Linked DNA regions of Alligator mississippiensis. The main gene of each other region encodes a partner of the protein of the gene in region 2 in a complex. Links are inferred from orthologs where the notes say so. Each region holds a gene or a part of one and is shown on either strand. Other genes may lie near its edges. The genes, in order: CACNG1 and CACNB1.

Evidence for each region.
Region 1: CACNB1 (region 2) and CACNG1 share a complex: the UniProt entries of both Homo sapiens proteins name them as parts of the calcium channel complex. The link is inferred for Alligator mississippiensis from reciprocal best matches to the Homo sapiens genes CACNB1 and CACNG1.

The regions. Positions count from the first base shown.
Region 1 is NC_081831.1:5,749,571-5,765,784, reverse strand, and holds the start of CACNG1 (voltage-dependent calcium channel gamma-1 subunit), read right to left. Parts: upstream 8,329-16,214; 5' UTR 8,216-8,328; coding exon 7,981-8,215; intron 1-7,980. UniProt on the Homo sapiens protein: Regulatory subunit of the voltage-gated calcium channel that gives rise to L-type calcium currents in skeletal muscle. Regulates channel inactivation kinetics.
Region 2 is NC_081827.1:165,924,276-165,940,489, reverse strand, and holds the start of CACNB1 (voltage-dependent L-type calcium channel subunit beta-1), read right to left. Parts: upstream 10,433-16,214; 5' UTR 5,341-10,432; coding exon 5,254-5,340; intron 4,664-5,253; exon of another isoform or gene 1,686-4,663; coding exon of another isoform or gene 1,677-1,685; intron 745-1,676; coding exon 658-744; intron 1-657. UniProt on the Homo sapiens protein: Regulatory subunit of L-type calcium channels. Regulates the activity of L-type calcium channels that contain CACNA1A as pore-forming subunit.

The DNA.
Region 1 (16,214 bases), on a different chromosome or scaffold from region 2:
GGTGTTGAGAGCTCATGCAGAGCCCCCCATGCAGTGGGGGCAGCAGAGATCACCCCTCACCCAGCAGCACCCAGTGAGTTGGGCCTTTTTTTTAAAGGACTGGGAGCTGGGGTGGGCAGGGCAGCCGTGGGATGGGGGGGGGAGGCTGAGGGAGTGGGTGGGGTCAGAGGGCTGGCGGGGGTCCCCCCATGGTCCCCTCACCCCCACCCCCTACTTACCAGTTCCGAGTCCAGCTCCAGCTCCACGCTGCAGCCACCGAGGACTGCCCGAATCATCAAAGCTCTCCGAATCTTTTCCAAAAAGCTTTGAATCGATTTGAACCTTTTAATTGGTCCCCTGATTCGATTCAGATTCGGAGATTCCACCACCAAATCAGGCCGAATCTCCTCCGAATCAAATCGGCACCCATAGCTTTGCACAGCCCTGATGAGCAGGGGTTAAAGTAAGGGAGAGTATTGGAATTGCAAATTCCTCTCCTCTGATGGAACCAGAGGCCCTTTCCTGGCTCAGGTAAGCAGAATCTTCTCCCTACGCATGCATGGTTGCCCACCTGATGTGGCTGGGGAGATCAGACTTCCCTCTTCTGCTTCACTCTGCTTTAACCACCGGTAATGAATATCCCATCTCTCTCCTGTCACTCCCTGGCAGGGACTAGAAGGGAGAAGATGCTATCTTGGTGCTAGCTCAGTCCACAAGGCTTTGCAGCATGGAACTTTCTTACAGGTCACTGAAACTTTGCTGTAAGGGGGAATCTATTAAAATGAAATGAAGTGTGCAGCATTTGACTCTAGTGGAATAGACCAACTGCACCAGTCTTTCCTGGGTTTTTGGACTTGTGTCTAAAGTTATTTGGTGGCGTGATGCTCGCTTGCAAACAAAGGCTTCAAATTCCCTCTTTAGCCACAGGATGAAAAGTTTCTATCTGTGCTTGCAATAAAAAAAAGAAGCATGCTTTCAATCTGGATAAATGTGTGAGCAAGACAGGGGCAGGTCCTTTCAGTAGATGGTCATTGACTTTCAGTGTTGCCAGCTGTAGCATTAGGAAGGAGTGTCTTTACACTTAGCATCATCTATTTATAACGTGTTTAATTGAGGGCTTGATGAATACATATAGTTAAGAGAACAATTGCTTGCCAAGGGTTTGGAGGGAATTGTGTCATTAACAAGATGCTGCCAACTGGAGCAGTATATAGTCTGATCGTGTTTTTTCTATTGGCCAGCCTATTTGAAGAGAATATAGGCAGTTCTCTATTTGTGGGCCTTATTAAAAATCACACCTTTGGTGCACCAAGGAGTTTGATTTTGCTTTACCATAATCACTAAAGTAACAGCAGGTAATGCTGCCAAGACTGCAGGAAATGTAACCGTGGCAGATGGCAAATGGTCATAATTGTTTTAATGATTCCTATTGTTTGTAGAACAAATAAAGTGGGGAGGGGGAGAGGGAGTGGAGGAAGTTGGCACAGCTGCCCTGAAATAGTGGAAATAAATGTCTATAAATGAAGAGGGGACTTTAGGACTCCACACCTCTTTGCAGCACACTAAATCCTTGCTTGCACTAGAAATGTCAGGCACTGGTGTCCAGCCATGCATGTACCTGCATCAGTGCACAGCCTTTGTATAGGCCCACAAATCCATAATAAGTTACTGGTGCAGGCTGAATCCACAGTAAATTTTCCTGGTGCAGCCTGTGGCTTTGTCTCTATCTCGGGGGTTTGTACACCACTGGCTGGACGTAAACGACTGCAACCAAAATCATGCCCCAATGCAGACAAACCTTCCCTTGCAAAGCATGTGTATATTGACAGCACTATCCTTCAATAGTGCTAAAATGGCATAGATCTGTACATCATCAACCAGATTCTTTTTGTTTCTCCTACAACATAAATGCCATATCCTAGAATTGTTGTTCCAAATATAATATTTTCTATCTGATAGGAAGTCAGACAATTACAAAGAAGTATGTGTAACCCACATGTTTGGAGCTCATTAGCTGAAGATTCTTTTGAGAGTTAGGTATTTTATTTATATATATATATATATATATATATATATATATATATATAAACTGATTTTAATTCCATCCCTCAGCTTCTTCTCATGTACTGTTCGGTTAATGGTTGTTCAGCTCTGGCATCCAGTGGCCACATCTCTTTTTATCCCTGAATATGACAGAAGCAAACATGTTTGATCTCAAACAGATATGATGGTGCTTTATGTTTGTTAAGCCACTGCTTAAAGATGCAAAAACTGCAAGTGAAGAGCACAAAAGAACAAAGAGGCTCCAAGAAAACAGGATCTGGGCCACTAGTTTGTGGCTGCTTCATCCCTCTCACAGAAGGCCTCTCACCCCCAAACTGCATGTAGTACCAGGTGTCACTACTCTCCATTACACTGCTGCCACACCCAGTAAATACACTTTGCATCAGCGAAACACAAGTTTTCTGTCACATGACTAATACTCACCAACTACTAACTTTTCAATTGCATCGTTTATCAGTTACCAGGAGGGTTTGCAATACAAACTTGGCATTCTGATTCTTTGATAGATGACAAACAGGCTGATGAATGATCCCCCTGATACTGGAGCAAGCACATTTGACATCCTTTTTCATTGCAGTTGCTTTATAAATAGAACAGGTGAGCAAAGCAGCACACTATTAATTATTTGAAATCCTCTAATGCCTAGGACCCCTAATCTTAGTACTCTGAATACTTAGTACCATGGTACTCTGAATACTTAGCACTCTTTCGAAAAGGTATCTCCAACACCACCCCATTTTCTAATCAGAAAAAAGGGGCAGAGGGGATATCGTGGCAGTTCCTGGGGTTGTCTTTTTAGAGATGAACTGCTGGAATGAATGCAGGTTATCCATGTAATGAACTGTGGTTTAGCTTCATAATAATCCTGCCAAGAGGTTTTTAAGTCAATGCGCCAGCTTTGGGGAAAGAGCTATTGCAGATCATATATTTATCACAGAATAAAGCTGGATATTTTTTTCTAAGAATGATGGTGGTGAGATACACTTGTCTTCATGTCAATGATACTTCAGTGAGCCACTGAGCTGGGAATACCTTTATCAACAAAACCTGCCATTATTCAACAGAGCTGAGCTACTTCAAGCCCTTTCCAGCACCACCGTGAATTAGAAAACTCCCATTTCTGTCACATTACATTTACTAAGGCTAGGATTTAAAAAAACTTCATAATGGATGAAAACGTTGTGGCATTCTTCCTCTCTCACCTCCCTTAATTGCATTCTCTCCATGATAATGTTACCCAGCAGCTATGCTAGTAGAAAAAAATCCTTTGGCTTTGTGGATCTCCATTTGTAAAGCAGGGTTCTCAAAGTATTCATAGTATGGTTCACAACACAATAATCTTGTTAAAAGATACGAATTAATTGCAAGAATCACCAAGAAACGTGCAGGTATAGAAGGAGGAACATGGATAGATGGGAATAGTAGCCCTTCCTGGCCTTGAAATTTGTGAATCTTGCAATCTGTTCATCCCCTTCCTTCTTGGGCATTGCGGAAAATGGGATAGTCTGCCCTGCTTTCAACAGATCCGTAATACTTGCAGCTCTCTATTCAATCTCGGGTTTCCAGGCTTCATCTGGTAGCCTCCAGGAAGGAACTGTTCTCCAGTGCACAAATGGCTAGATGTCTTCTCTGGTTTTTGTTTTGTTTTTTTAATTTCTGGCCACTTTCTGAAATACTGGAGATTGGCCACAGCCTGTGGCCCAAAGCTTAGCCTCCTGAAGACTGAAATGAGGACTCCTTCAGTTCAACAGGTCTTTTGGGCTTGATATAGGGTACCTGCATGCAAATTAATGGCCTATAAAGTAGTCCAGGAGGGATAATCAATTGAACCCAATCTTTCTGAGTCTAAATGGACAAGTGCAGCTCCTTTTGATCCAGTCAGTTTTACAGGTCATCTTAATAAACTCCTTACAGTACAGAATAACACAGGTTGCTTTTCACCCTCATCCCCAAATCAGCATGAACCTCGGCATCGTTTGAAAGGATTCCAGTGGAAGATGTTGTATTGCCGCCGTGCTTGGAGTTACCCGCTACACTGTGTGGTAGTCCTGTGCAATAGGTACACTAGAGCGGAAACAGAGATGGCTATCCAAGGGACCCTGTACTTGATACATCTCCAGCTGCCTTATTATCTGTCACGCTCCTGGAAATGTAGATGAGTTTGGCCTGGTGAGCACTGAATATTTCTATCTCAGCCAAGCTGTGGCAGGCAAATGATAAATGAGCCAATAACAGTGTTGTTGTGGCCATGGTAATTCAGGAAAAATATGCAAGAAGCAAGATTGGTGAGATGAGATCTTCTCTCTCTTGGTCCAACTTCATAGCTGGGAGAGATGTTAGACAAGCTTTCTGGCACAAAACGCTCTTCTTCATGTCTGCAAAAAAGCAGATACTATCTAAGCTAACTAGCAGGCTCTTAACGTCTTTGAATTTGGAGCTGAAGGAAAGAATAGACTATCAAGCCTTAGTACTATTAATGACTCCTTCCCTCCAGTGAAGTATTGCTTACTCTGCCCACTGGACAAAATGAAGCCCCTGTGCCCAGATTTGTCCCTTTGCCCTGATGTGATCCATCAGGCTTGTATGCCAACACTTGACTCACAGGCTGATGTGATCCATCAGGCTTGTATGCCAATGCTTGACTCACAGTGGGTGAGGAACGGGGAAGGCCTCGAGGGATAGCTCATCGGTTGAAGTGCCTTTGCTGGGAAAACCCATGAGATGTGGAAGCATGGGTTTTGATGTTGTTAGTCCTTTGGACTTTAGGGGTAGAAGCATGCAATTAAACAAGGCTGGACTTTTCACAGAGGACTTAGGGAAAAGTTGGATCTGAATCTGAACTTAGATACTACTATGGTCCCATTTTTTTTTAGTATCTGAGAACCTGATAATTTCTCAATGTATCCTCACAACAACCATGTGCAGTAGACCAGTCCTGTTATCCCCATTCTGTAGCTAGGGAACTGAGGCACAGAGAGCCTATGTGACTTGCCCAAAGTCTCACAGAAAATGTGTGGCACAGCAGGGGAATTTCCACCTGGGCTTCCTGAAGTCGACACCCCACTCTTTGCCTTTTTGTGCCATCATCTGAAACTGGTGGGGCTGGACTCGGGGTCACCTCTCAGGTATGTTGTACTATCCCAACTATACAGATAAGACAAGAGAGATGCTGGAAGCAGGTCAAGTCACTTGGTCAGATTCAGTCAGCAGTACCGTATCGGCACCATTCACATTGCAATTTTGTAGATTTGTAGATTTTTTTATAAGAACAGCGTTCATTTATCAATCTGCCTCCAGCATCCACAGGCTATAAAAGTCACTTGGTGATGTTCTACACCATGCCCATATCTTCTGGGGGATAAGGAATAAGATTTACCTTTCAACATCCCATTTTGATTTAAAGACTTGTCATGATAAAGAGTCTACCCCATCCTCAAGTAAGTTATTCCAAAGGTCTGTTACAGTTAAGGCTCACATGTTTAAAACCTGATGTCTAACTTAAACTTCCAACTACTAAATCTTGTCATTCCTTGGATAAATTTACGAACCCTTTCTAGTTTATTAGCATATTTTTTTAAGTAATTTTAATTCTCTTTGCCTGAATCACAAGACCTTTTCTTAGCTTACAATCCCCAAGCCCTTCCTTTTCATGCCATACCGTGCTGAACTCAACAAATAAATAATAGTAGCAATGCCATCCATCTTTTCCGTGAGTATGACTGGGTAAGTGGCTATTAATGAAGTAGTAAATACTTGTAATTTTTCAGATGATGATGATAGTGTAGGATTTAATATCTCATGACATTTAAGGGGGAAAAAAGATCTACTGATATGGTCACAAGCAAAATCCCCGCTTGTCTGTTTGTTCTGCTAAACTTTCTTGACAAACCCAAGCTTGACAACTGGAATGTCTCTTTTTCAAGAGTGTGATACCATTACAATAATGGCAATATTACCTACAATATAAGGGGGAATCCTGAAAAGCAGGATTCTTGGGTTTCTTTTCAAACTCTGCTATGGACTATATGTGGGGCTAGTTTTAGTCCACCCCTCCCTATTTCAGATTCCCTATATGGAGAATGGGTACAGTAATATCTACCTTATAGTGGAGATATGAGAATGTTATTAACAGTTGTTAAAAAAAAAAAAATGTGGGGGACGGACTCTTTCAAAGCCTCCAGTAGTAGGATGACTGGTGCTAGAAAATTAATTGTTAGGTGGTTGGGATTAAATTTAATCAAATCTCATGAATAACTGCCAAGTGCTGACCTGTGCAGCATACAAAGATTATGTCTAGTCTTTTCAAGTTGCTTTGCAGAGGACTGGCTCACTTCTTTCATAATTACCTATTTGTTTACTGGACACATTAGGAAGGCAGTGCAGAGGGATGGATAGCTCAGCTATGTGACAACCATGCAAGCACATGGTGATGTCCATCAAAAAGAGCAGTCATTTCTCTGCTGCAGTGACTCAGAATCTGTTTTATAGAGACAGCTGGGTATTTATAAGTTATAAATGTATCCAGCAACATGCAGTATTGGTGTTCCCATGAATCCTTATTTTTATGTTAAACATAGAAGCTCTAATGTTTGCAAAACTAGGATTGCACATACATATTACAACACATTTATTATGCATATTAGATATGGCCTACAGCCAGTCGTCTAGACTCAAACAGCTCCAAATTTGGTGGAAGCCTGGATCTGAAAGCTGCGGATCAGATCTCTAATAATAAATTAATTAATCACATGAACTGAGATTTATCGTTATGCAATTTCATAGCATATTTACAAATATATTAAAATCTAACCTTAGCTTCAAATAGTATTTCTAACAAGCAAAGCAGCCTATTACTTCTGCTTGGCAAATAATCCAATTCATGGCAAGCCTCTTTAAAATACAGCTTAGTGAAGTTGTGAGTAGGGTATTAGCACATGTTGCATGAATGTTGCTGACTTTCCATCCAGCAAAAATATAATACGACTTTTTAATATATCATGCTAATGTAATGTTCTCCCTGGAAATCACCTACTTGACTACCATGCCTACTAGTTGCAGTAAGGGCTACTTACAACGTATGTTACTACTTGTCATGAAGAAAGGCAGCTGATTAAACTTCATTTAGCAATAATGTTGGAATATGTTTGCTTTCAGTCACTGAAGTTTAAGGAAACCCAATAAATTGATGATATATTATTTCTAATTCAGTCTACGGGATTTTTGGCATTTAAATGAGGGAGATGGTTTCCAGGGAGGACATTACATTAGCATGATACATTAAAAGTTGTATGATTGTCCAAAGTTGCACATTGTCTGAAGCAATGATAATTATTCAGGGTAGCTTGGGGATATGTTAATATCCTTCCTGCACAAGCTGTCCCTTTGAAGTTATCTGAACCAGGAAGTTCTTCTTCTGAGCTAACTGCAGACACTAGATTTTGTCTTATAATCCTCATACAGGCAAACCTCACAGTGAAAATTATATACATTTTCCTTGAATAAGGGCTTGTGTAGGTGTTTTGGGGCTGGGCCTATTGAAGATTTCATCAAAACACCAGTGAGAAAATGTCCCATTTCCCTGATTTCAGTCTATGCTTTCTGCCATCTCCTATCTGTTATACGAACTATATTCTTTTTTTTTCTGTACAGAAGCTACTGAAAGGCAGTGTACTGAATATACTTGAAGATATGTACTGTGGCAGTACATCATGTACTTAAGATAAGCCTCAAGGAAATATGAAAATAAGGTGTATTTTCATGCTAATATGGAACCGAATTCACTCAGGAAATCTTGTAAGACTAAGTGCAATGCGAACAAAGAACCATATCTCCTTTTCAATATGTCTTGTAGGTTCCTAAAAGACATGAATAGCAATAACGTGGCATTTTCTCTCAGGCATTTCTGGGAAGGGATGTGAAACGAGCATTGACACGTACCTCCTGGCAGACTGATCGGTCCACAGCCCTTCTCTTTAGTATCCTGCACGTAAATCCGTTTTGTGCAAAGCCGCCATAGCCCAAAATGAGCAGCCTCACAGGTGGCATTGTAGTGCAGCACTTCAGGGCTCAGCACTGCCCAATGATCAGTCACCACAGCTGCAAACAATAAAGCAACACCAACCAAAATAACGGAGAAAGTTAGCCGGATTTTCAGTGTTTTGCCTTCGTCCATGGCTGGACTGTGTTGGAACACATAGAGCAGCCTCTGCCTGGTGATTACTGCTGAGTCTGCCTTGATCTGCTTGCATGGAAGATCATTGCAAGTTATTCAAATGGTCTCCCAAAGTCTTGGCATGTCTAAGCATTTTCAAATGTCAGCCCTGTGATGCAAAAAAGAAGAACAGACTGGGCTGGGATGGATATGGCCACAAGTACAGCTGTTGAGATATATCAGGAGACTGGATGACTGGACTTGTTGTGAGTGGGGATTCTTTTAATGCACGTAATAAGTGAAGTAACTGCTGCTGCAGCTCAGGTTACTGGTTCATTCCTCCTTGGTTTGTTCTGGAGGTCCATATGCCAACTGGAAGCAAAACTAGATCTGTATAACTAAATTCACGGTTGTAAGACCAAGACCGCCTGACTCACAATGTGACCAGGAACAGTCAATGGTGTAAATTTTTAACTTCCCAGTTAGTATGTAAAATATCTGTTGTTGTAACTGAGATAAGCATGAGCTCACTTTTATTCAAAAAAATTCAATATTGGATCCAAAATCAATCTCCTCCTTGTCTGCAGGCATTCTCAATCCTGGGGGAATGCGCGACTCAAGTCAATGTTTGCAAAAACACAAATTGTGCAAATGTATCCAAACACCTCAAAACTTTGTAGAAGTCAGGATTTTGATCTAATTATGGAACCGAACTTTTACTTTGTAATCCAGGTATATCTCCACTGTGATAGGATTGGATAAATAATGGATTTTTCAATTTGGTGGTTAAAACAAGTACTGGAAAAAACATTTCAGTTGAAATCACAATAGAAACTTTTAAAAATTCTTTTTGATGAAACAAAAAAAATAAGGGTTTTTTTTTCTTTTTTTTTTTTTTTAAATCTAACCCAGACCATTCTGTCTGAGCCCTTCTTTTCTTTTAAAATTTAGGTCAGTTATTAAATGGAAAATGCCATTTTGAAATGATGCACATTAACTGGAAAATATGTATTAAGGTGCTTGCTATCCAGAAAAACATTTAGCCATGAGTGGAAAGGACAGAAATTTGGCTAAGCATCGTCTCATCAGCATTAGTTTTTATTGTCACAGTCTGAAAGAGAGCCCTCTCAGCAAGAGTCTAAGTGGGATTGGAGCGGGGAGGGATATAGGCTAAACAATGAGAGGTTGAAATGCTTTTCAGCAGTGCAGCAGATTTTTTTTCTTTCAGGCTTGCCTCTCAACTGACCCTAAATACTGTGGCTGGCAGGGAGCCTGCTCAGTAGTTGTTGGCATGCTGCTGTACATATCTGGCATGCAGGTGACTGAGTCTGTGCTTGTCAGCTGGCCAGCAGCACTTGTTTTATGGAGGATTTTAGCCTGGTGTGTTGTTCTGTACCATCACGCTATGTCTTACATTGATGCTGTTCTGCAGTAGATTTTTATTAAGGTGTAAACAGGCATCAGCAAATGAAGTGGATCAGTTGTGCTGGGAGTGTCCTGGCACAGCTCCTCTGCTTCACTGGGTAAAACAGACATCCCACAGGTTCGGGCCCCTGCCGCTCCTGGGAGCATGTGGGGCCCAATCCTGCAGGACAAAGTTCAGGGCAGCCTTTTTGTAGTCTTGTATATTGTGTGGAGGGTGTGTGTATGGTTGGATAGGGGTATGTGTGTAAGGTGGGGTGTGGGGCTGTATGGGTATGGTGGGGTATTGGGTATGTGTGTATGGTGGAGTGTGGGGGTGTGTAAGGTAGGGTGTGGGGGTGTGTGTATGGTGGGGAGTGGGGGGTTTGTAAGGGTGTGTGGCCGTATGTGTGGGGGGAAATAGGGTATGTGGGGAGGTTGTAAGGGCTGGGTGTGGGTGTGTGGCACTTGTGAAGTGTGAGGGAGGGTGGGATAGCCACCATGGTGCATAGCCCCCACTGGCAGCAGCAGCAGCAGCAAGCGGGGGCTCTCAGGATGCTTGTGCCCAGGGCAGGTGCTGGCACCCAGAGGCACGTGGCTCTGTCCAGTGCTACACATCACAGGCAAGGGGAGGGACTTCTAGTGGCAAAGGTCAGGGGTTAGGGGCGGGACTTCCATCTGAAGATGGCGACCAGGGGGTGGGGCAAGCATCAAGAGGTGGGCTACCCATGCGGCCCTCGACAGCTCACCAAAACTGGTTAAGCAGCCCTCCAGCTGAAATAATTGCCCACCCCGGTCTAACACTACCAATGTTTTTAAACATTTTTTTCCCTTCAAAAAACAGCCTTATTAAAACCCAGATTGTTCATTCAAAAATATGAAATTTTCCATGAACATTTTTTTGTGGCTTTAAAAATGTCTTTGTCTTCAAAACTTCCTAAAGCCCCAGTACTTTTCTTTCCCTGGAATCAGGAGTAGCTGTCGTGGTACTGTTTGCTTCTTGTCACTGGTGTCCGCATCTGAGTTTGCACCTAACAGTGCCTTAACAAATTCAACAGGCACAGTGGATTGTGCTCCTTTTCTTCCAAGCCCTCTGGCCATGATGGTGCCTCTAGAGGTAACGGAGCCTTCCCAGTAACAGAGGGAAACGGACAGGTCAATAAGAACAGGATTTTACCCATGCGAACAAAAGTGTTTGGGGCAATCCTTCCAAATTCCAGAGGTCTATGGCCCTGAATCCACACATTTCCTTTGGTTAGAAAGCAGCTGGTTTCCTTACACCAAGCAGGGACTTTCAGTTGCGGGGGGACTCTTTGGTCAGAAAAAGCCTTGCAATGTACACAGAACAGAGAAAGCAGATGCACAGAAAACATCTTCTCCCATACAATGCATGGACCAGGCCACTGAAAATTAGGGAGAGAAGCCCTGCCATCAGACTGCTCTCCCACACACAGAAAAATAAAGGATATTGCTGCGGCCAAATTGTAACATGGTGAAATACAGAAATACATAGTGAATGGGACTCTCTCATTGTTGCAACCCTACTGGACTTCAACACCTCAGCTGATACTGCTAGATTCAATAGTGGCTGCATGGTTGTACTTTTGATAAATGTTGTGAAATACCTGCCTCTGTGGAAAGGTGCTCTAGAGGACGCTAGTGCAAGTCTCTAGAACAGGGATACCGTGGAGCCGAGGAAGCCTAGCGAGAATTTGGAGGGCTGGGGTTTCTGTGAAAAGAACCCCAGCTTCAGCATTTATGATCAGGTCACAAAAGCATTGGATGCAGGTGTCGCTGTGGATGTAGTCTTTCTGGACTTCAGCAAGGCCTTTGACACTGTCTCCCATCCCATCCTCATTAAAAAACTAGGCAACTGTGGCATCGATGCCTACACGGTCAGATATATTGCAAATTGGCTGAAGGGTCGTACTCAGAGGGTGGTGGTGGACGGGTCATATTCGACCTGGGGGGAAGTGGGCAGCGGAGTCCCCCAGGGCTCGGTCCTTGGGTCTGCGCTGTTCAATTTCTTTATCAGCGATTTGGACGACGGGGTGAAAAGCAACCCGTTCAAATTTGCTGATGATACCAAAATTTGGGGTGAGGTGGGCACACTAGTAGGGAGGGAAAGACTGCAGAAAGACCTGGATAGGTTGCAAAGGTGGGCTAACAAAAACAGGATGCATTTCAATACGGACAAGTGCAGGGTGCTGCACTTGGGCAGTAGTAACCAGCAGCACACTTATAAGATGGGAAACTCCCTTCTTGAGAGCATGGAGGCAGAAAGGGATCTTTGAGTCATTTTTGACTCCAAGATGAACATGGGCCGACAATGCAAGGTCATGGTCGGCAGGGCTAACCGGACCCTATCGTGCATCCATAGGTGCATCTCAAGTAGGGCCAAGGAGGTGATCCTCCCCCTCTACGCAACACTGGTCAGGCTGCAGCTGGAGTACTGTGTCCAGTTCTGGGCACTGCACTTCAAGAGGGATATGGACAACATTGAGAGGGTCCAGAGGAGGGCTACCCGCATGATCCAGGGGACATCAGGGCAGACCCTACAATGAGAGGCTACAGGACCTGAACCTGTTCAGCCTTCACAAGAGAAGGCTGAGGGGTGATCTTGTGGCTGTCTATAAACTCACTAGGGGGGACCAGAAGGGTTTGGGGAAGACCTTGTTTCCCCTAGCACCCCCCGGGATAACAAGGAATAACGGCCACAAGTTGTTGGAAAGTAGGTTTAGATTAGACATCCATAAGAACTACTTTACAGTCAGGGCGGCTAGGATCTGGAACCAACTTCCAAGGGAAGTGATGCTGGCTCCTACCCTGGGGAGCTTTAAGAAGCGGCTTGATGCCTACCTGGCTGGGGTCATTTGAGCCCAGTTTTCCTCCTGCCCAGGCAGGGGGTCGGACCTGAAGATCTACAAGGTCCCTTCCGACCCGACTTCTATGATTCATGAAGTTTCCACTGGTTTTGTGGACAGACTGAGTGGTGGGGCATAGAGCCTGCTCCCTGATAGAATAGCACAGGCAAAATCTTCCAGTGGAAGCTCCCAGGACTTCCCATCTTACAGCCATCAAGCAAGACCTCTGTGATGTGTAAGAGGGTTGAGTGGCCAAACTAGTAAAGATCGGTAAGAAAAAAGTTGAGATCAAAACAGTTACAGCATGGCATGTATGAGAGGAATTAGAGGATTGGGCCAAAAGAAATCTCATGAGGTTCAACAAGGACAAGTGCAAAGTTCTGCACTTAGGATGGAGCAATCCCTTGCACCGGTGCAGGCTGGGGGCTGACGGGCTGGGCAGCAGCTCTGCAGAAAAGTGCCTGGGGGTGACGGTGGACAATAAGCTGAATGCGAGCCAGCAGTGTGTCCTTGTTTCAAGAAGGCTACCGGCATCCTGGGCTGCATTGATAGGTGTGTTGCCAACAGGTCAAGGGAAGCAACTCTTCCCCTCTATTCAGCTCTGGGGAGGCCACATCAGAAGTCCTGTGTCCAGTTTTGGGCCCCCCACTACAGAAAGGATGTGGACAGATTGGAGAGAGTGCAGCAGAGAGCGACAAAAATGGTTCAGGGACTGGTGGACATGGCTTGTGAGGAAAGACTAAGGGAACTGGGCTTATTTCATAGATTCATAGATTCATAGATGTTAGGGTCGGAAGGGACCTCAATAGATCATCAAGTCCGACCCCCTGCATAAGCAGGAAAGAGTGCTGGGTCTAGATGACCCCAGCTAGATGCTCATCTAACCTCCTCTTGAAGACCCCCAGGGTAGGGGAGAGCACCACCTCCCTTGGGAGCCCGTTCCAGACCTTGGCCACTCGAACTGTGAAGAAGTTCTTCCTAATGTCCAGTCTAAATCTGCTCTCTACTAGCTTGTGGCCATTGTTTTTTGTAACCCCTGGGGGCGCCTTGGTGAATAAATCCTCACCAATTCCCTTCTGTGCCCCCGTGATGAACTTATAGGCAGCCACAAGGTCGCCTCTCAACCTTCTCTTGCGGAGGCTGAAAAGGTCCAGTTTCTCTAGTCTCTCCTCGTAGGGCTTGGTCTGCAGGCCCTTGACCATACGAGTTGCCCTTCGCTGTACCCTCTCCAGGTTATCCGCATCCTTCTTGAAGTGTGGCGCCCAGAATTGCACGCAGTACTCCAACTGTGGTCTGACCAACGCCCGATAGAGGGGAAGTATCACCTCCCTGGACCTATTTGTCATGCATCTGCTGATGCACGATAAAGTGCCATTGGCTTTTCTGATGGCTTTGTCACACTGCTGGCTCATGTTCATCTTGGAGTCCACTAGGACTCCAAGATCCCTTTCCACCTCTGTGCCACCCAGCAGGTCATTCCCTAGGCTGTAGGTGTACTGGACATTTTTCCTCCCTAGGTGCAGCACTTTGCATTTCTCCTTGTTGAACTGCATCCTGTTGTTTTCTGCCCACTTGTCCAACCTATCCAGGTCTGCCTGCAGCTGTTCCCTGCCCTCCAGCGTGTCCACTTCTCCCCATAGCTTTGTGTCATCTGCAAACTTGGACAGAGTACATTTCACTCCCTCGTCCAAGTCGCTGATGAAGACATTAAAGAGTATCGGTCCAAGGACTGAACCCTGCGGGACCCCACTGCCCACACCCTTCCAGGTCGAGACCGGCCCATCTACCACGACTCTTTGGGTGCGACCCTCTAGCCAATTCTCCACCCACCGGACTGTGCAGTCATCCAAGTCACAGCCTCTTAACTTGTTCACCAGTATGGGGTGGGATACCGTATCGAAGGCCTTCCTGAAGTTCAAGTATACGACATCCACCCCTCCTCCTGTGTCCAGGCATTTCGTAACCTGGTCATAGAAAGAGACTAGGTTGGTCAGGCACGATCTGCCTGCCACGAACCCGTGCTGGTTTCCCCTCAGCATAATTTGTCCTGCCGGGCTCTCACAAATGTGAGCCTTGATAATTTTTTCAAATACTTTACCAAGGATGGAGGTGAGACTGACCGGCCTATAGTTGCCTGGGTCCTCCTTCCTCCCCTTTTCGAAAATGGGAACCACGTTAGCCTTTTTCCAGTCCTCCGGGACTTGGCCCGTGCGCCACGAGCGTTCGAATATTCCTGCCAGTGGCTCTGCAATGACGTCGGCCAGTGCCTTCAGCACCCTCGGATGGAGCCCATCCGGGCCTGCCGACTTAAAGGCATCCAGTTCTTCCAAGTGACTCTGCACCACCTCAGGATCTACGCATGGAAGTCTGGCGCCTTGCTGCTGCCTCTCTACAACCCCAGTGAGAGACTTGTCGTGCCCCTCGCTTAGGAACACTGAGGCAAAGAACTCATTGAGGAGTTCAGCCTTGTCCCCCCTATCTGTCACCAATTGTTTCTGCCCATTTAGCAGGAGTCCTATTCCTCCCTGGGTCTTCCTTTTACTCCCTATATATCTAAAAAACAATTTCTTGTTGTCCTTTACTTGGGTTGCCATCCTCAGCTCCATGGTAGCTTTGGCCCGCCTAACTGCCTCCCTACAAGCACGAGCAGAGGAGGTATATTCATCTTTAGTGATCTCATTTATTTAGTTTAGAGAAGAGGAGGCTGAGAGGAGATTTAATAGCAGCCTTCAACTACCTGAAGGGTGGTTTGAAAGAGGATGGAGGTGGACTGTTCTCAGTAGCAGATGACAGAACAAGGAGCAATGGGCTCACGTTGCAGCAAGGGAAATTTAAGTGAAATATATAGGAGGGAGGGTAGTAAAACACTGGAGCAGGTTACCCAGGGAGGTGGTGGAAGCTCCATCCTTGGAGGCTTTCAAAACCCGGCTAGACAAAGCTTTGGCTGGGATGATGGAGTTGGGGCTGGTCCTGCTTGGAGCAGGGGGCTGGACTAGATGTGACCTCCCGAAGTCCCTCCCAACCCTCATTTTTGGTGATGCTATGTTCTGGGAGGGCTCGTGTGGATTGGCATAAAGCAGCACCCCAGTTTCCGATGGACATAACCTTTGCTCATCCATGTCCTTTCCAATGAATGAACTTTTCGGTTTCATGACAGTGATTCCAGCAGTGCTGTGTTGCTGAGGGTGAGTGGGCAAATCTCTCACAAAGCTTAATTTCAAGGGCTTTAATATTTCAGGTGTTTCAAATCACATCAGGCTCAGATAAAATCATCTTGTTTGCCTGCCTGGCTTGAGCAGTTTCATTTAATATTTTAAACCCATAGACCTGTTAAATTAATTTCACCCATTTTCTTTTTTTTCCTAGATAAAGAAAAAGGTTTTTGAAGAGAGTTTCCAGTAGTTTAGGGTTTTGTCAGAATTCCACTGCAGTCAGGGGTTGCATTATCATTTGACTTCAGTGCCTTTGGATCTGGCCCTTAGCCCCCACATTTTACATTTTACAAAACTTTGCAGAAATAGAAATGTTTACAAACATGTTACAGGCAAACAGGCTTCTAGGATGTAAACTTTCCTTTGCATTGCTAGAAACCCACATGACCAAAAACCCTCCAACTTGTGCTAATACATGAAAATGATCTGCCAAAGTGACCTTCACTGGCAAGTGAAATTTAATAAATAGGTAAATATAGTTTCATTGCCTGACGTGACTCAAAACGAAAAGTATAAGTGATGAAAAGTAAAATAAATAACTAG
Region 2 (16,214 bases):
TGATTCCCACAAGACAGGGCTCACAGGACTCCAGTCCTGTGCTCACACCACTGGCACACAAAGGAGACTATATATGGACTGGTTGCTAAGAAGTCATTTTTGCCCTTGAAGTACCCCAATCATTTAAACCCAAACTGCAGAGTCTCAGAAGGGACATTTTGGATTCAGTGTCCTACAGCTTTAAAACTAGTAACAGTACTGCACAGGCAGAAATGGGCACTGGGTTTGGTCTCAGGGTTGCAAAGGGTGTCACGCACCCCACACCCTCTCCCATGGACACTTCACTTTGGTCTTTTCTTGTTACTTTAACACAAAGGGGCCCAGGCTCTGCTCTTTGCAAAACATGAGAGTTGGAGACACAATGGGATGGGGCTGAGCAGGAACCAAAGCCCTGCTAAGCAGTAACTCCTTGAACTGAGACTGGCTAGAAGGTTATTATAGTCATTGGGGATGGACAGCCGGGGGTGAGCTTACCCCCTTGCCTGCTGCTGCTGTATTCCAGCAACCTGCCATCACCACCTGCTGCCAGATCAAGGATAAAAAACATGTCAAGTCCCCTGGAGAGAACCTTTCACACAAGTACCCCTGGGGCTCCATGCCACTGCTGCTCAGAAAAGGCATACCAAAGCTAGTCAAACCCCTGCCCACTGCTTGTACCTGTCTCACGAAGCTGTTGGAAGTTGTGTCCGAGGAGGTGCTGCCATCCGAGCGTTTGAAACGACTCTTCCGCTTGCCGTATTTCCCCTGGGGGAGAGAAGGGAGCCTGGTTAGTGAGTGCACGGGGCCTCACAGGCAGAGGGGAGCAGGCACTGGCTGCAGAGGATAAATAACTCAGGGAACTCCTCGAGGAAGGATGCTGAAGACTCTTGAAGTGCTTTGATAAGCACGACTGAATCTTCAAGACCAAGGTCAGACCCAACACCCCATTATGGGATGGGAAGGAATTTTTCTCTTAGGTCAGCTCAGCACAGACTGAGGTATTTTGCCTTCCTCTGTAGCATGAGACATGGTCCTTTTCCTAGGAGCTCCTGAGTATATATTATCCAACTACTTGCAGTGGCAAGGCATTGGCAGCGCCCCTGTCTCTGTGCTATCTATTTTCTGTGGCACGTTATAGGATGCTGGCAGCGTTTCGGGTATTGTGTCTTGTAGTTGTGGGTGAGGGTTTGAAGCGGTGATCCTGGAGATTCCTTGAATCAGTGGAAAGACACTAGATTCTAGAGCCCAAGAGGCCTCTTCTAGTCTGATGGTCCTCACACCACCACCTAGGAGGCAACTCAGTGTCCTAAATCCCATTGTACAGATGAGGCAAACTGGGGCATAGCAGCATGGTTTACTCAAAGCCACCCAAGCAGGAGATCTGGAAACAAAACCCAGGAGTCCCACTCCAATTTACAGACCATAAGCTGTTTCTGTGACCACACTGGAGGCATATATGGGAAAGGGCAGCTTGCTAAAGGAGGCAAACAAGAGTCAGCCATACTCGCAGTTCAGAGCATCCTTTGAGCAAGGTCAGGCAGGAACCCCTCCTCCTATGGTTGAATATCACAACACAAAGGACAGGAAGATGTCTTTCCAGTATTGTCTGCCAGTCTCCACTGGGAACAGAGCAGGAGGCCAGAAGAGCCTGCTGGTCTGAGAGCATCTATTATGCTAGGAAAATCTCTATAGCAGACCTGAAGCATGGTCCCCAGAGGATGTCTCTCTCTCTTAAGGCCTGCCTGTTGGATCCTTTCCCCTCTGAGGCCATCCCCATGACTGAGCAAGCAACGCCGGTAGCTCCTGCGAACTCGTTCAGAGTGTGGGGAGAAGAGAGACAGGGCTAAAAGCAGGCAGAGATCGCTCTCTAAAACTCAGCCAAAGATGCCATCCAGGCCTCTGGCAGCAAACAGCGCTGCCAGGTCACCTGATACAAGCACCAATCAATAGGCTGCTCCAGGGCTTTAATATCCTTGCCAGGTTCACAACCAATCTGGCTCCATGCAGTGCCACAGCCAGCCTCTAATTACTGGGAGAGCTAATTACAATGCCAGGCATGTCAGCTCACCCCGATGGAAACAGGGAGGGGTGCAGCAGGCAAGGCAGGATGACACCAGATCTAAGGGGCTTGATTGCAGCGGCTGCTGGAGAATCCACATTGCCCTGGCCCTGGGAAGGGACTGGGAGAGGGAGGCACCCCCAGATAACAGCCTGCTTATTGCTGGCACCCCCCACAGATCAGCACAGAGGAGTCAGTAGCTTAATCAAGGCAGAGAGGAGGGAAGCAGGTGGAGGCCCCCCTGGGAGGGAAGGTGCATGTATAGGGTGACCCTCTGAGCTGACTGTCAGTGCCCTGTACTGAGGGAAAGAGTGAGGCGTGTGCAGTCATGCTTGCTGCAAGGCTCACTATAAGGAAGATGGAGGCAGATGCTTATTTAGAGCTGGCAGCCAGGCTGGGGTGCTGAGCTGTAGCAGGATGTGACAGATATGGAGGTAGTGGAATGATCTGGGGCTGAACTGCTTCTCCAGTAAGACCAGGAGATCTGCTCCTCATCTATGCCCCGCAATCTTACGTGCTTAAGTGTCTGTCCCAAGAAGGTTGGGGATGGGGTAGGCTCTGCCTCTGCATCAGTATATTTGGGAGGGCTGCTAGACCTGGGCATCTAACTCTTTCAGGGGACACACTCCTGGGCTCCACTGCTAAGCAAGGCAACTAAATCAGCACAGGGTGGCTCCCTGCTCTATCCCCAGCCAACATCATCCCTAGGGGCATGGGACTGAAATAGAGGCATGAACACAGGGACTGGTCACCATGGAGAGAGTGAGGATGTGGGGCTGACTGGATATTTTAGCCAGTCCCTGCTGACTGGGGTGCTGGGCTCCCTCCCCTCCTTATAACTGCCAGAGAGCACAGTGATCATCCACTGCTGAGGTGGGATCCAGAGCCCAGAGAAGGGATCCCAGTATAGGACCTCACCACCCTTTGGCCTACACTTCAAAGGGTGCTGTCATTCTGGTCTGATTGACTGGAGTGAGAGATTGCCCCCCTCCCCCCATATTGGGCACGCACAGCAGCTTCCTCTTGTGAGGAAGTCAGCCTGTCCCCATCTCCAGAGACCCTGGGACAACACAGACAGCTCCAGCCCTTGTGGGGAGGGTGTGAAGGGAGCACAGAGGTCTGTATCTGGTAAGGGAAGGACCTGAACCAGTCACAACCCCAATGCCATGCACACAGTGAAGGGTACATTTCAACTCTGAGTGTGCACACATGCAGGCTCCTACCCCCTGGCTCTGCGTGCATGTCACACCCTGTAGTTGTGTAGTTACACCCACGTACTCACAGAGCTGTACACACACCTACCCCCTTGCAAACAGAGCTGCACACACAATTTCCTATGCTCACACATTATAGAAGCCATCCCTGTCAACACCCTCCACACACACTTCCCCCTTCACCTTCGGCACACACACCAGTCCTCTCCCTCCACACACCCACACAGGCCCCTGCAGCCAGGCAAGTGTGTGTATGCGTACACATACACATGCATGCGAGCATGCACGCAGCAGGCCAACACACCGGCTCCCACTGAGTCAGCCCATAACCTAGTGGCTCCTCTTCAAATAGAAACATTTATCAGGCTCTTTCTCTCTCCAAACACTCCTCTGTGGGTTTGGACAGAAGGAGCCCCCTGGACTTAGTAACTAGTTTGACACCAGTTCCTACGCTGCCTCCTATTGGAGGATACTGGGACTGGATGAACCAGGAGGTTGGTGGTTGAACCATTCTGCTGCTAACCCTCCTTGCCAGGGAGACTGAGGGTCATCACAGTGCCCAAGACATCCCTCAGCTCTGGGCTGGACTCCCCCGGAAGCTGCCGACAAGGTCAGGACCTTCCATGCATAGAGAACGGTTAAGACGTGTCAGGGCAGAGCTGGTCTCGGAATGAGGCAGCCGCCTCCCAGGCACGCCTCGAGGGACAGCTGGGCCCAGTTGCTGTCCAGCCTGGAGATGCATGGTCCCTGAACAGGGCAGGAGTCGATATTTTTAGGAACTTCCTCCTCCCTCCCCCTCTCCGGTCTTTCTAATCAGGGAACATCCAGGGCTCACATTTGCTGTGGCCGCAGTTAGTGGCTAGGCTCCACCATCCAGGAGGAAGGAGGAGGGAGGGGGAAGCTCTGAGGGTTGCAAGGGGTTAATCACGGCCATTTAAAGAGCCACCCATTGAACTAGTAGAGGCTTGTCCTGGGTCTCTTTCCCCATTTAGGACTGATACTATCAAGGTACATCCCTGCTCCGCACCCACAACCCCAAGTCTCTCTGTGTCAGTCCCTCTGTGTTTAAAGCAAAGTTGGAATTGTCTCCGTGGAAAGGCTCAGAGCTGGGTGTGGGCATCATTCAGCAAAGCCAGTGGGGAGGATGTGCTGAGTTTCATCATATCAATGAGGTCGTCTTGGCCCATTCACTAACCCAACCAACCCCCCACCATGCTGCCAGTAAACAAGGCATGATGGGGACATGGTGACTTCTGGGACAGTTTACTAAACGCCAGTCTCCTGGTGAAGAAGCTGCCTTGGCCACAACCCCAACTGGCCCCACAGCCTCCCTCAGCAAGTTAGCCCCATTTTCCAGATGGGGAAACTGAGGCATGGAGCAGTGACACAGCAAGCCAGAAGCCAAGCAGGGATTAGAACCCAGGTGTCCTGACTCCCCACAACCTGCTCTGACCGCCAGGCCACACTCCTGGGCTCTGCACCCATTCCCCCATGTCCACTCCCCCTCCTGTGTGTGGCACAAACCCGTGCGCCACTGCCACCTGCCTCCTCTTGCAAAGGGGGGGTGAGGTGGGCACCATGTCTCCCAGGGTGCCTTGAGACTCCTCCTTCCACCCACATCTGCACCCTTGGGGGCACCCCAATTCGGCCTGGCAGAGGAGGGGCGAATCCAGCGGCTTCTTTATCAAGGTGGAGCCCGGGGGGTGCTAGTCCCCAGCCACCACCACCACCAGTGGGTCAAATCCTCCTGTCTCCAACCCCAGCCCCGCTGTACAAGGGGGCTCTGGACACACACACTTTACACACACACTGCTCCCCTTTACACACACACCCTTTACACGCGTGCACACTACTCCCTTTTACGCACGCACTGCTCCCCTTGACGCGCGCACACACCTCACCCGCCTTTACCCCCGCAGCCGCCTGAGGAAAGAGGCCGGCAGCAGTGCCGGGGGGCCGCGCCCGGCTCGGGTGGGATCCCCCGCCTCGCCCCGCGGTCACCTGCAGGCCCGGGTGGTCGAACACGTCCATCTGGATGTCCTGGCTGGAGCTGCACGGCGTCCTGGACATGCTGCCGTCCTGCACCATTGATCCCCGGGGCCGGGATCCCGCTCACGCCGGCCTCATGCTCCCGATGCTGCTGCCGCCGCTGCGCCCTCTCCCTGCGGCCCGAGCCGGAGCATCGCCCGCCCCTTCCCCCGGCAGACACAATGAGCCACACCCCCGGCCGGGCGGCCCGAGCAGGCGCTGCGGGGCTGGGGGCGCTGGCTTCGTCCCCTCAGCGGCCAGGGTGGGCAGAGCCCCCCCAGCCTGCGCGGTGCCGCGCCCGCCCTCACCACCTGGCTGTGGAGGCAATGTCCCGGCTGTGGGGGCAATGTCCCGGCTGGCAAGTGGATCGCACGGGCTCCAGGGGCTGCCCTGCTTCGGCTAAGGGGTGGTGGCATTAGTGGGGCCCTTCTCACACAGGGCCCTCAGCACTGGCCAGGCCAAGCCTCCAGCTGGGGTTATCTTATGGGGGGGGGAGGATGGGGGAGTATGCCCACACCCACCTCCCTGCAACAGGGGCCCCATCCCTCCTCCCTGTCCAGCTTCTTTCTGGGAAGATCCCCGGCACCAGGGCTCCTCCAATCCCCGTCTCTTCTCCCCTCTGGGCAGAAGTTCTGGGCTTGCCAATGGCTGGGGTGCCTCTTTCCTTCTTCCCTGGGGGATGGGAGGGTCTGTGGGGGTGTAATAGATCAGCACACCCTGTTGGTACAGTTGGCAAAGTGGCTCTGGATCCACTTGGGTGTGCCAGGCTGGGCTTCCCCCCCAGGGCTAAGGGTTTGGGACAGGTGGGGTGCTCACCGGTACCCTGTGGTCCCAAGCATCCTGGTTACCATGGGTTCTACACTTGCGGATGCCCCTCATACCCAGGAAGTGGGGACACCTATGGCTGCCTCCTTGTGTTGTTCAAGGAATGCTTCTGAGGGCACAGAAAGGGGTTCCCAGCTGGACTGGGTCACCTTGCCACCCAACAGAGCCAGCGTGGGCATCCATACTCTCCTGCCCAGAATGTATGCACAGCCAGGGAGGCATGGCTGGGAATGGTACTGGCCCCCAAGGCAGCTCTCTGTAATGGAGACAGCTTCACCTCCCTGCTTGACTGCGTGTAGTGTGGCATGGCTACATGTAGCTCCAGCTAGCTCAAGTCTCCATTCCTTGAAGCACAAGACCGCCAGCCTTTCTACCACCTCTTCTCACCCTGTCTCTTCTGTCTGAACCTTCTTGAGAGCACCCTACCTCCTCTAGGGATCTCTGGGGGCTCAATGTTCTTCTAAACAAACCATGTCTCACCATGGTTCGCTCCTGCTCCCTCTGGGCCTCTGTTTCCCAGCACAGACTGGGGAAAAGGAAGGTGAACAATGGTGGGTGCAAAGCGTCATGGGAAAAGACATCAAATGAGCCTGCATTCACTCCTTGAAATAGCTGAGGAGGAAAACTCACATGGCTGGTGGGATCCGTGGTTCATTTGGAATGAGACTCATCTGCCCTTCCTCAGCCCCCCTCTCCTAACTGGCCTGCCACTTTGCTCTGTTGTCTCAGCCCCAAGGGCTAAGCATCAAGAAGTGCCAACACCAGACTAGTGAATGGTAGCACCAAGAGATACACACTTGCATTGGCTACCAAGATAATAGTCCCTCTGGCCATGGTCTGGGGAAACCCAATGAGTGTACCAAATGAATCTTCAAGTGCTTGGTTTGACTTGAGGAATGGCATTAGGTGGGCATCCCTGGAGCCTGAAGCCTTTGGATGAATAGATCAGTGACAGGTTCTCCCCACTACTCCCTCTCAATCAATGGTTCATAGCTCTCTCCATGATGACCCAACTTTGTGTGTGGTCTCCTGGTTGAGTCTACTGGCAACTGATCCAGTTTGTCACCACAATTACCTTCATCAATCCAATCAGAACTGAGTTGAGACACCCACCCTGGCCCGTGCTTGTCTCACAGTTCCCAGCACAGCCCTAGACAGCAATACCCTTTAGTTGCAACTACCCAGCTGGACCCAGCTGTCAAAAGCCCCCATGTCTCATCACCCCTGTTAGTTCACTATCCAGAAGTGGCTGTGGTGTGTTAGCTCATGACTGCAGGGCAAGGAGACTGAGGTGAAGAGACAGCTCTTAATCCCAGTTCCAAAGAGGAGGGAGGACCCCACTCTCCAGCCCAGATAGGGGGCTCAAAACTGATCCCTCTGTTGCTGTGGAGAGTGGTGGACTCCTCCTAAGAACTGTCTCTTTCCTGGCCCTATTCCCCAGATTGTGCTGCTTGAAGACAATCTATCTGGGAGTTCAGGACATCCAACGCAAGAGAGATTTTTCCATTATTAGAACCCATCTATCATTGACAGTCAGAGGTGCCTATGTCTGCAGCACTGACGCTCCAAATCATACTTCATCTCTGCCATACAGGCTGGGGAAATGAGGCAGGGAGAGAAGTGTCTTGGCCAAGGTCAAGCAGCTGATCAGTGGCAGGGCCAAGAATACAGCCTTGAAGTCCTGACAGGCTTTCACTGCTAGATCCCACAGTGTAGGAGGGTAAGGATCCAGTTTGCAGGACATCAGAACCACCCTTGATCCTTTGTTTCAAACCCTAGATCAATCAAGGTTCAGTTATTTTCTTCTCACCCTTTGTGCATTGCATTCTTGCTCCCAGATGAGAGGGACAGAGCTGGAGCAGCTGTGGGGAGGAAGCTCTCATGCAGTTTCTGCCCCAGCAGGAAGCACAAGGTGCCTGATCTCGTCTCCTGTCTTGTCTCTTTGCAAGATCCCCCATGTACAGAAGGATCATGACCCTACAACATTCCTTTGATCCCTCTGAGCACCAGTACCACTGGAAGGAGGCACCTAAGGAGAGAAAAAATGCTGGAGAACGTGGTGATCTGGACACAGCCCCACCAGTTTGGTGACTTCACTTGGATGTGACCCTCCCATTGCATGAAGAAGTTTGCTTTCCCTGCCCTCCCTGCTAGACTGGACACTATAAATTGGTTCAAGCCGAAGACCCAGATCTAAGCAGCCCCAAGCTCTTGGAGAGTACAGCCCCCCACTTGGAGATGACCCCCCCGCCATCCTCTTCTGACATGGGGGCTGGAGTGAAGTGATCTCTCCAGACCAACTGCAGCTGGGACCTTGGGAGATGGCAGCCCTTTAGGGAAACACTTTGTAGATCCTGCTAGGGGAAGGGAGATGGTTGTCACTGAGGCTTCTCTCCTTCCCCAGAGAGTTCACCAGACCTCAGTCTGGCTCCCCTCTCCAGCATGGGTCTGTTTGTGCAGCGCTGATCCGGTAATGTCCTGAGAGGAGCAATGTGCTCAGTGTCTTGGGAGGCTGTGGCTGTTTCCTAGATATTATTTCACTGGTTTAAATCACCCCCTCCCACCCCAGTCCACACCAGCAGCTGGTCTTCCCCAAGGGATCCTGGCAGTGAAAAGAAGCCAACTTGGAAGAGCTGGAATTGTGGGGAGCCACAAGCAAGGGACTGGCATGGTGGGAGAGAGATGGCAGGGATAAATAGTGAGCACTGTGGATCAGGAGGTAGAGAGGCATGGAAGGTCAGATGGAATGGAAGGGAAAGAGACAGAGCAGCAGCAAGCTGGAGGAAGGGAAATGAATGCACAAACCACAGGCAGCTGCGTGGGAGTGTAATGCAATTACAATCCCTCTTCCTTTATGCTGCCAGAGCATCTCTCCTCACAAGGCAGGCTCCCCACCCCTGTATCCAAGTAGTAAACACTGCAACGCTGTGTATGTGGTACAACAGTAGTGCCCCTGGTGGACTGCTGACATGGGGCAGCTCAGGTTTGGCTCAAGCCTAGCCCAGATGCTAACAATATTACTAGATGCCACAACCTTTATCCCTGAAACAATACAAGATCAAATATTGAGTCAACATCTTTTGAACCCAAGCTCTTGCAAATAAATGCAGCCACTTCTGCGTGGTGCACGGAACCTTCTGCTACCAAAAATCCATTGGATCAATAAAACCTGGTGCAAGGGGCTAATGGAGACATTGAAAAGCACAGAGTTCAGAGAGTCCATTTTATTTTCTTATGGAGTCAAGGCAAAGAGAATGTGACTGCCCTCTCCAGTGTGTGTAAATGCTGCCATGCCAAATCTGAGCTGCATTCCAGCCCTTTATTTTATGGGGGAAATAAGGCAGAAGGCAAGTAGATTTGCACCTTACAGACTAACTCAGAGATGCATAAGTTTCTGTAAGCACAGCAGCTCACTTCATCAGGTGCTACAAAGGGAAAATAATAAAACAGACAGACCTCCCCATGAGGGAGGTTGCACAGGGTGCAGCAGGGCTCTCCTACAGTAGAGCTGTCCAGGTTCTGGATGGTGGCGGTTCTGCATGCCACATGGGCCACAGACCCCCAGCATTCCTGTAGCTGTGTGCACAACCTGGTCCTCCCCCACCACATGCGCTGCCCAGGCAGCTCACTTTCTTCCCACTGCACGTGGAGCACGAGCAGTGCAGACTCATCTCTTGCAGCATGAGCAGCTCAGATTACCCCCTGCCGCGTGTGCGGCACCCTCCTGCCATCTGGCCCCATCCTCAGGAGCAAAGGCAAGAACCAGAAGCTGAAGGGAGGTGGGATGGGGAGCCACTGAAGCAGTGGGGGCAACAGCAGCTGTGTGGACTGCATATTAACCTCTCAGCTGCCTTAGGTGGCCCAGGGACCAACAGTTGGACAGCCCTATTCTACAGGGGTTATGAAAAAATATTTACCTTCCTCTGAACAAGCCCCATGTAACTAGCTCTGAGTGTCATGGATGTGAATTTCTATTTGTGTTTCTCTGTAGCATCAATGGGACAGAGTCCTGGAAGGGGTGGGCCAAAGGTCCCAACCAAACATTCTCCTGTCTAAGGATACTTCAGATTTTGGTGTTTGTTTTATCAGAATGAGAAGTTGGTTTTTAAACAGAAAAAATCTGTGTTTATCCGTGTTTTTCTCTCAGAATGGACCAAAAATCTGTTCCTTTCAGGTCTCCTTCTCATACCATATGTTGATCATTTTACATCAGCCAGAAACAAAATGAACTGTTAGAAACTTGTCTGAATATTTAACAAGCAGCCACAGATCATTTTTTTTTCCCCTGGCAATTTCTTCCAAACTTCAGTCCTTTAAGGGATGGGAAAAACACAAAACACAAACCATTGCAAAAATGTCAGACTTTGGTGCTTTATAACATCTAGTTTAGTAAACAAACCACAGCAACACAATGAAGTTTGTATCCAAGGGGAAGCTCTATTATATCGCTTGTTGCAAATGCCACAACTGGAGAATCCCTTTTAATTGTTAGCATGATTCCTACCTGTGCATTTTATTTGTACACGTTTCTCCCTTTTTTCCCCTCAGGAATTCTTCACTTTCTGATCCTGGAGGGGTATCTCAAATTCTTACCTTTCTGCATTATATCTTTAATACAGGGAAGACAGTTATCATCTCTGGGCTTGAATCTGACCTCCCTGATTCTACTCTTCCATTATAGATTCATAGATGTTAGGGTCGGAAGGGACCTCAATAGATCATCGAGTCCAACCCCCTGCATAAGCAGGAAAGAGTGCTGGGTCTAGATGACCCCAGCTAGATACGCATCTAACCTCCTCTTGAAGACCCCCAGGGTAGGGGAGAGCACCACCTCCCTTGGGAGCCCGTTCCAGACCTTGGCCACTCGAACTGTGAAGAAGTTCTTCCTAATGTCCAATCTAAATCTGCTCTCTGCTAGCTTGTGGCCATTGTTTCTTGTAACCCCTGGGGGCGCCTTGGTGAATAAATACTCACCAATTCCCTTCTGTGCCCCTGTGATGAAGTTATAGACAGCCACAAGGTCGCCTCTCAACCTTCTCTTGCGGGGGCTGAAAAGGTCCAGTTTCTCTAGTCTCTCCTCGTAGGGCTTGGTCTGCAGGCCCTTGACCATATGAGTTGCCCTTCTCTGGACCCTCTCCAGGTTATCCGCATCCTTCTTGAAGTGTGGCGCCCAGAATTGCACGCAGTACTCCAACTGCGGTCTGACCAGTGCCCTATAGAGGGGAAGTATCACCTCCCTGGACCTATTCGTCATGCATCTGCTGATGCACAATAAAGTGCCATTGGCTTTTCTGATGGCTTCGTCACACTGCCGGCTCATGTTCATCTTGGAGTCCACTAGGACTCCAAGATCTCTTTCCACCTCTGTGCCACCCAGCAGGTCATTCCCTAGGCTGTAGGTGTGCTGGACATTTTTCCTCCCTAGGTGCAGCACTTTGCATTTCTCCTTGTTGAACTGCATCCTGTTGGTTTCTGCCCACTTGTCCAACCTATCCAGGTCTGCCTGCAGCTGTTCCCTGCCCTCCGGCGTGTCCACTTCTCCCCATAGCTTTGTGTCATCTGCAAACTTGGACAGAGTACATTTGACTCCCTCATCCAAGTCACTGATGAAGACATTAAAGAGTATCAGTCCAAGGACCGAGCCCTGCGGGACCCCACTGCCCACACCCTTCCAGGTCGAGACCAACCCATCCACCACGACTCTTTGGGTGCGACCCACTAGCCAATTCGCCACCCACCGGACTGTGTAGTCACCCACATCACAGCCTCTTAACTTGTTCACCAGTATGGGGTAGGATACCGTATCAAAGGCCTTCCTGAAGTCTAAGTATACGACATCCACCCCTCCTCCTGTGTCCAGGTGTTTCGTAACCTGGTCACAGAAAGAGACTAGATTGGTCAGGCACAATCTGCCCGCCACTAACCCGTGCTGGTTTCCCCTCAGCATAATTTGCCCTGCCGGGCTCTCACAAATGTGAGCCTTGATAATTTTTTCAAAGACTTTACCAAGGATGGAGGTGAGACTGACTGGCCTATAGTTGCCCGGGTCCTCCTTCCTCCCCTTTTTGAAAATGGGGACCACGTTAGCCCTTTTCCAGTCCTCCGGGACTTGGCCCGTGCACCACGAGCGTTCGAATATTCCCGCCAGTGGCTGTGCAATGATGTCGGCCAGTGCCTTCAGCACCCTCAGATGGAGCTCATCCGGGCCTGCCGACTTAAAGGCATCCAGTTCTTCCAAGTGACTCTGCACCACCTCAGGATCTACGTATGGAAGTCTGGCGCCTTGCTGCAACGCCAGTGAGAGACTTGTCGTGCCCCTCACTTAGGAATACTGAGGCAAAGAACTCGTTGAGGAGTTCAGCCTTGTCCCCGCTATCTGTCACCAATTGTTTCTGCCCATTTAGCAGGGGTCCTAGTCCTCCCTGGGCCTTCCTTTTACTCCCAATATATCTAAAAAACAATTTCTTGTTGTCTTTTACTTGGGTTGCCATCCTCAGCTCCATGGTTGCTTTGGCCCGCCTAACTGCCTCCCTACAAGCACGAGCAGAGGAGGTATATTCATCTTTAGTGATCTCACCCTGTTTCCACTTTTTATGTGCTCCCCTTTTGGCCCTTAGGCTGCCCTGGATTTCTCTGGTCAGCCATGGAAGCCTCCTGGCCCCTTTCCCTTTTTTGCCATGCTCAGGGATCGTTTTGCTTTGTGCCCGAAGGATTGTTTCCTTAAGGCACAGCCACTCTTCTTGGGCTCCCATCCCTTCAAAACTCCTACTCTGCAGTGTGTTCTTGACTAATCGCCTGAGTGCATTGAGATCAGCTTTCCTAAAGTCTAGCACTTTCACCCTACTAGTTACCTTACCCATTCGACGTCTTATGTTGAATTCTATTATTAGGTGATCACTGTCTCCCAAATGGCTACCGATCTGGAGGTTCCCTATCATGTCATCCCCTGTTGCCAATACCAGATCCAGTATGGCATTCCCCCTAGTGGGACCATGCACCTCCTGTGTCAGGTGGAGGTCCTGTACACAGGTTAGAAACCTGCGTGAGCAATGGGACCTTGCTGTCTGCGTCTCCCAGCAGATGTCCGGGTAGTTTAGGTCCCCCATGACTACCGCCTCTTTAGCTTTTATGGTCTCCGAGAGTTGCCTCAGGAGCCCCGCATCTATTTCTTCCCCTTGGTGTGGGGGTCTGTAGCAGACCCCTACCACCAAATCCCTTTCTCCTTGCCCCCCATGTAGCCTAACCCACAATCCTTCTACTTCCTCAACCTTGGATTCTGTCTTGATGAGGGTTGATGTATATTGCTCACTGACATAAAGTGCAACCCCCCCCCCCCTTTCTTCCCCGACCTGTCCTTTCTATACAATCTATAGCCCTCAATATGTACCGCCCAGTCATGGGATGAATCCCACCAGGTCTCTGTTAGCCCCACTAAGTCATAGGTGTTTAGTGCAAGCAGGAGCACTAGTTCATCCTGCTTGTTCCCCATGCTCCTAGCATTAGTATATAGGCACTTGAGCCCTGCGACTGGTGCCTTTGCTGCCCCCCCGCTCCGAGTCCCAAGGGGCCCATTGTTTCTTACCTTCTTGTTTCTTACCTGTTCTGTAGTGCTGGTCTCCCCATGGCTTTCAGGTTTCCAATGTTCTCCTTCTTCAGGCTGGGCTGTCCTTGTGGGTGCCACATGGTTTGGTGGTCCACAGCTTCCCCTGCCCTCGTACTCCCCTCCCCCCGATGAGCCTAGTTTAAAGCCCGCCGGAGGAGATCCGCCAACCTAGTAGAAAACACATGCTTACCTTTGGGGGACAGGTGAAGCCCATCCCAGCTGAGCATGCCCTCGTCGTGATGTACGGGTCATTGTCCAGGACTTTCTTTGTGGAGACCCTCTAGGTTGACAGTTATAAAGAGGGATGGGCATGCACAATTTCACTCTTAGTTTCTCCCATGGTAAAATGGTTGCATTGGTACTGATCAATCTTACAAAGGACTTGTGAATATTAAGTAAGGCTGTGACAGTGCTGTGAAGATGCAAAGCTCTTCACAGATGCCAATCCTTATTGAAAAGCAAGGATTTCTTGGGGTGATATCTTTTATTGGACCAACTGCATAGTTGGGATACAGCTAGACAAGTTTTCAAGTGAAAGACATTCTTCATCCTACAGTTCCTGGCTCAGCGTCCTGTGTTTGTGTCACCATACCTGATCCTTCACGCAACTGCTGCTAGAAATGCTACTTTGGATGAACTGCTCAGTGCTGTTTAATAGTTCCTTACTGGGTGTGGTCATTGGACACAAAGCGAGCAGAAGGTCTCACAATCCCTGAACAATCACCCTGCCCTGATGTCAGGCCCTGCACAACCTTAGTACCCACAGCCACATGTGGCCCTAAACCTAACACCTGAAGAAGAATATCTGGCATTCAAAAGCTGGTCTAACTTTATCCCAACTACATAGTTTGTTCCAGAAAAGATACCACAGAAAGAAATCTTTGCCTCACATAATTCCTGGACCATCATGGCTACAACATCACTCTAACACTACCAGTCCTTATTAAAGCAGTTACCATCAGCAGGATTGACATGAAATATAGGACCCCCATTTTTTCATCATCATCACTGTATAGACCACAAGCAAAAAGATGGGACTAGCTCAAAACACAGAGATGGAAGCAACACCCTAGAGTCCTGTATTCCAGTCCCCTGCTCTAATCATTAGACTGCACCATACCCTTTTAAGGTGACATCAGACACTGAGAGCCCCGGTGAGTAATGAGCTATAGTGGATGGATGTTGGAGAAACAAAGATCCTATTTTCAAGTAACAACATGGAAAACTGGAGTTAAACGTCAGGGGGAAAAAATTTTCCTACAGTATGTAAGAGGCAAGGATGTTTGTGGGTGGTATCTTTTATTGGCCCAACTGCATGGTTGGGATAGACTTAGACAAGGTTTTGAATGCAATGCATTCTTCTCAGATTTCTACAGTAGCTGTTTCTGAAAGGCTGTGAGTAGTTTAGATCAGGGGTTTTCAACCTTTTTTAATAAGTGTACCCCCAGCAGCACGACACAGAGTGGTGGTGGTGGCGGGGGTGGGGTGTTGGCACGTGGCTGGGGGGTGCAGGGGGGGCAGGGGTGGCACATGGCCAGATGTGGAGGTTGGGGGTGGCGCATGGCCAGATGCAGAGCGACAGCAGCACAGGGTGGTGGGTGGCAGCTGCAGTGTGAGCTCCCCACCCCCTTTGGCACCTGTGCAGCCCACAGAGGGGTGCTGTTGCCCTTGCCCCCCTGACCCTGTTCCTGGGAGTCAGTGGCACGGGGTGGGGGGTGGCGGCTGTCTGTTACCACCTGCCTGTCCACGCATACCCACTAGGGACTTCCCAGGTACCACCGGTTGACAACCCCTGGTTTAGATGTATGAAGGGTCTCAGAACTCTTATGTTCCATTCTTAGGTTTAATATTGTTTGTTTGGTTTCCAGGTGATCACCCATATCCAAGGAAATACAAGCTAAATGTCTGCAGGATTAGGTTGATCTTTAATGGACAGTCCCACTTCTTTGCTCAGAGCCCTTTGCCTATGTCACTATACCTGATCCTTCACACAACTCCTGCTGGAAATGCCACTTTGGACAAGCTGCTCAGTGCTGTTTAGTGCTTCCTTATTGTGTGAGGGTCACAGGACACAAAGCAGTAAGGACAGGGCCTCACTTAAAGCCCTGAATAATCATTCTACCCTGGCATCACATGGCCCTGAACAACTTTAGTGCCCGTAGCGCCACTTTGTCCCTAAACCTCAATACCCACTGCCTTATCATTCTGGCACTCTGTCCCTATCCAGGCCTATGAATCCGACCCTCTAATAACTCTCCTCAATCTGCCCCTCTGAGCCTGCCATGCCTTGTGCCTAGTAGTGTAATGAAGGCTGGGTGAACTGGGCATGAACCCCAGGAGTGAATGGAGCTGGGGTTGGGGTTTCACCCTCTGGTCTCCCTTGCAGTCTGCACCTTTCCTGCATCAACTCTGGCTCTAGCAGCAAGAAAGGTAGAGAAGCAGAGGCTGGAGGTTGGCTGCTGCTAAGGGCACTTCCTTTTTGCCACTGAAAATCAGTGGGTTTTTG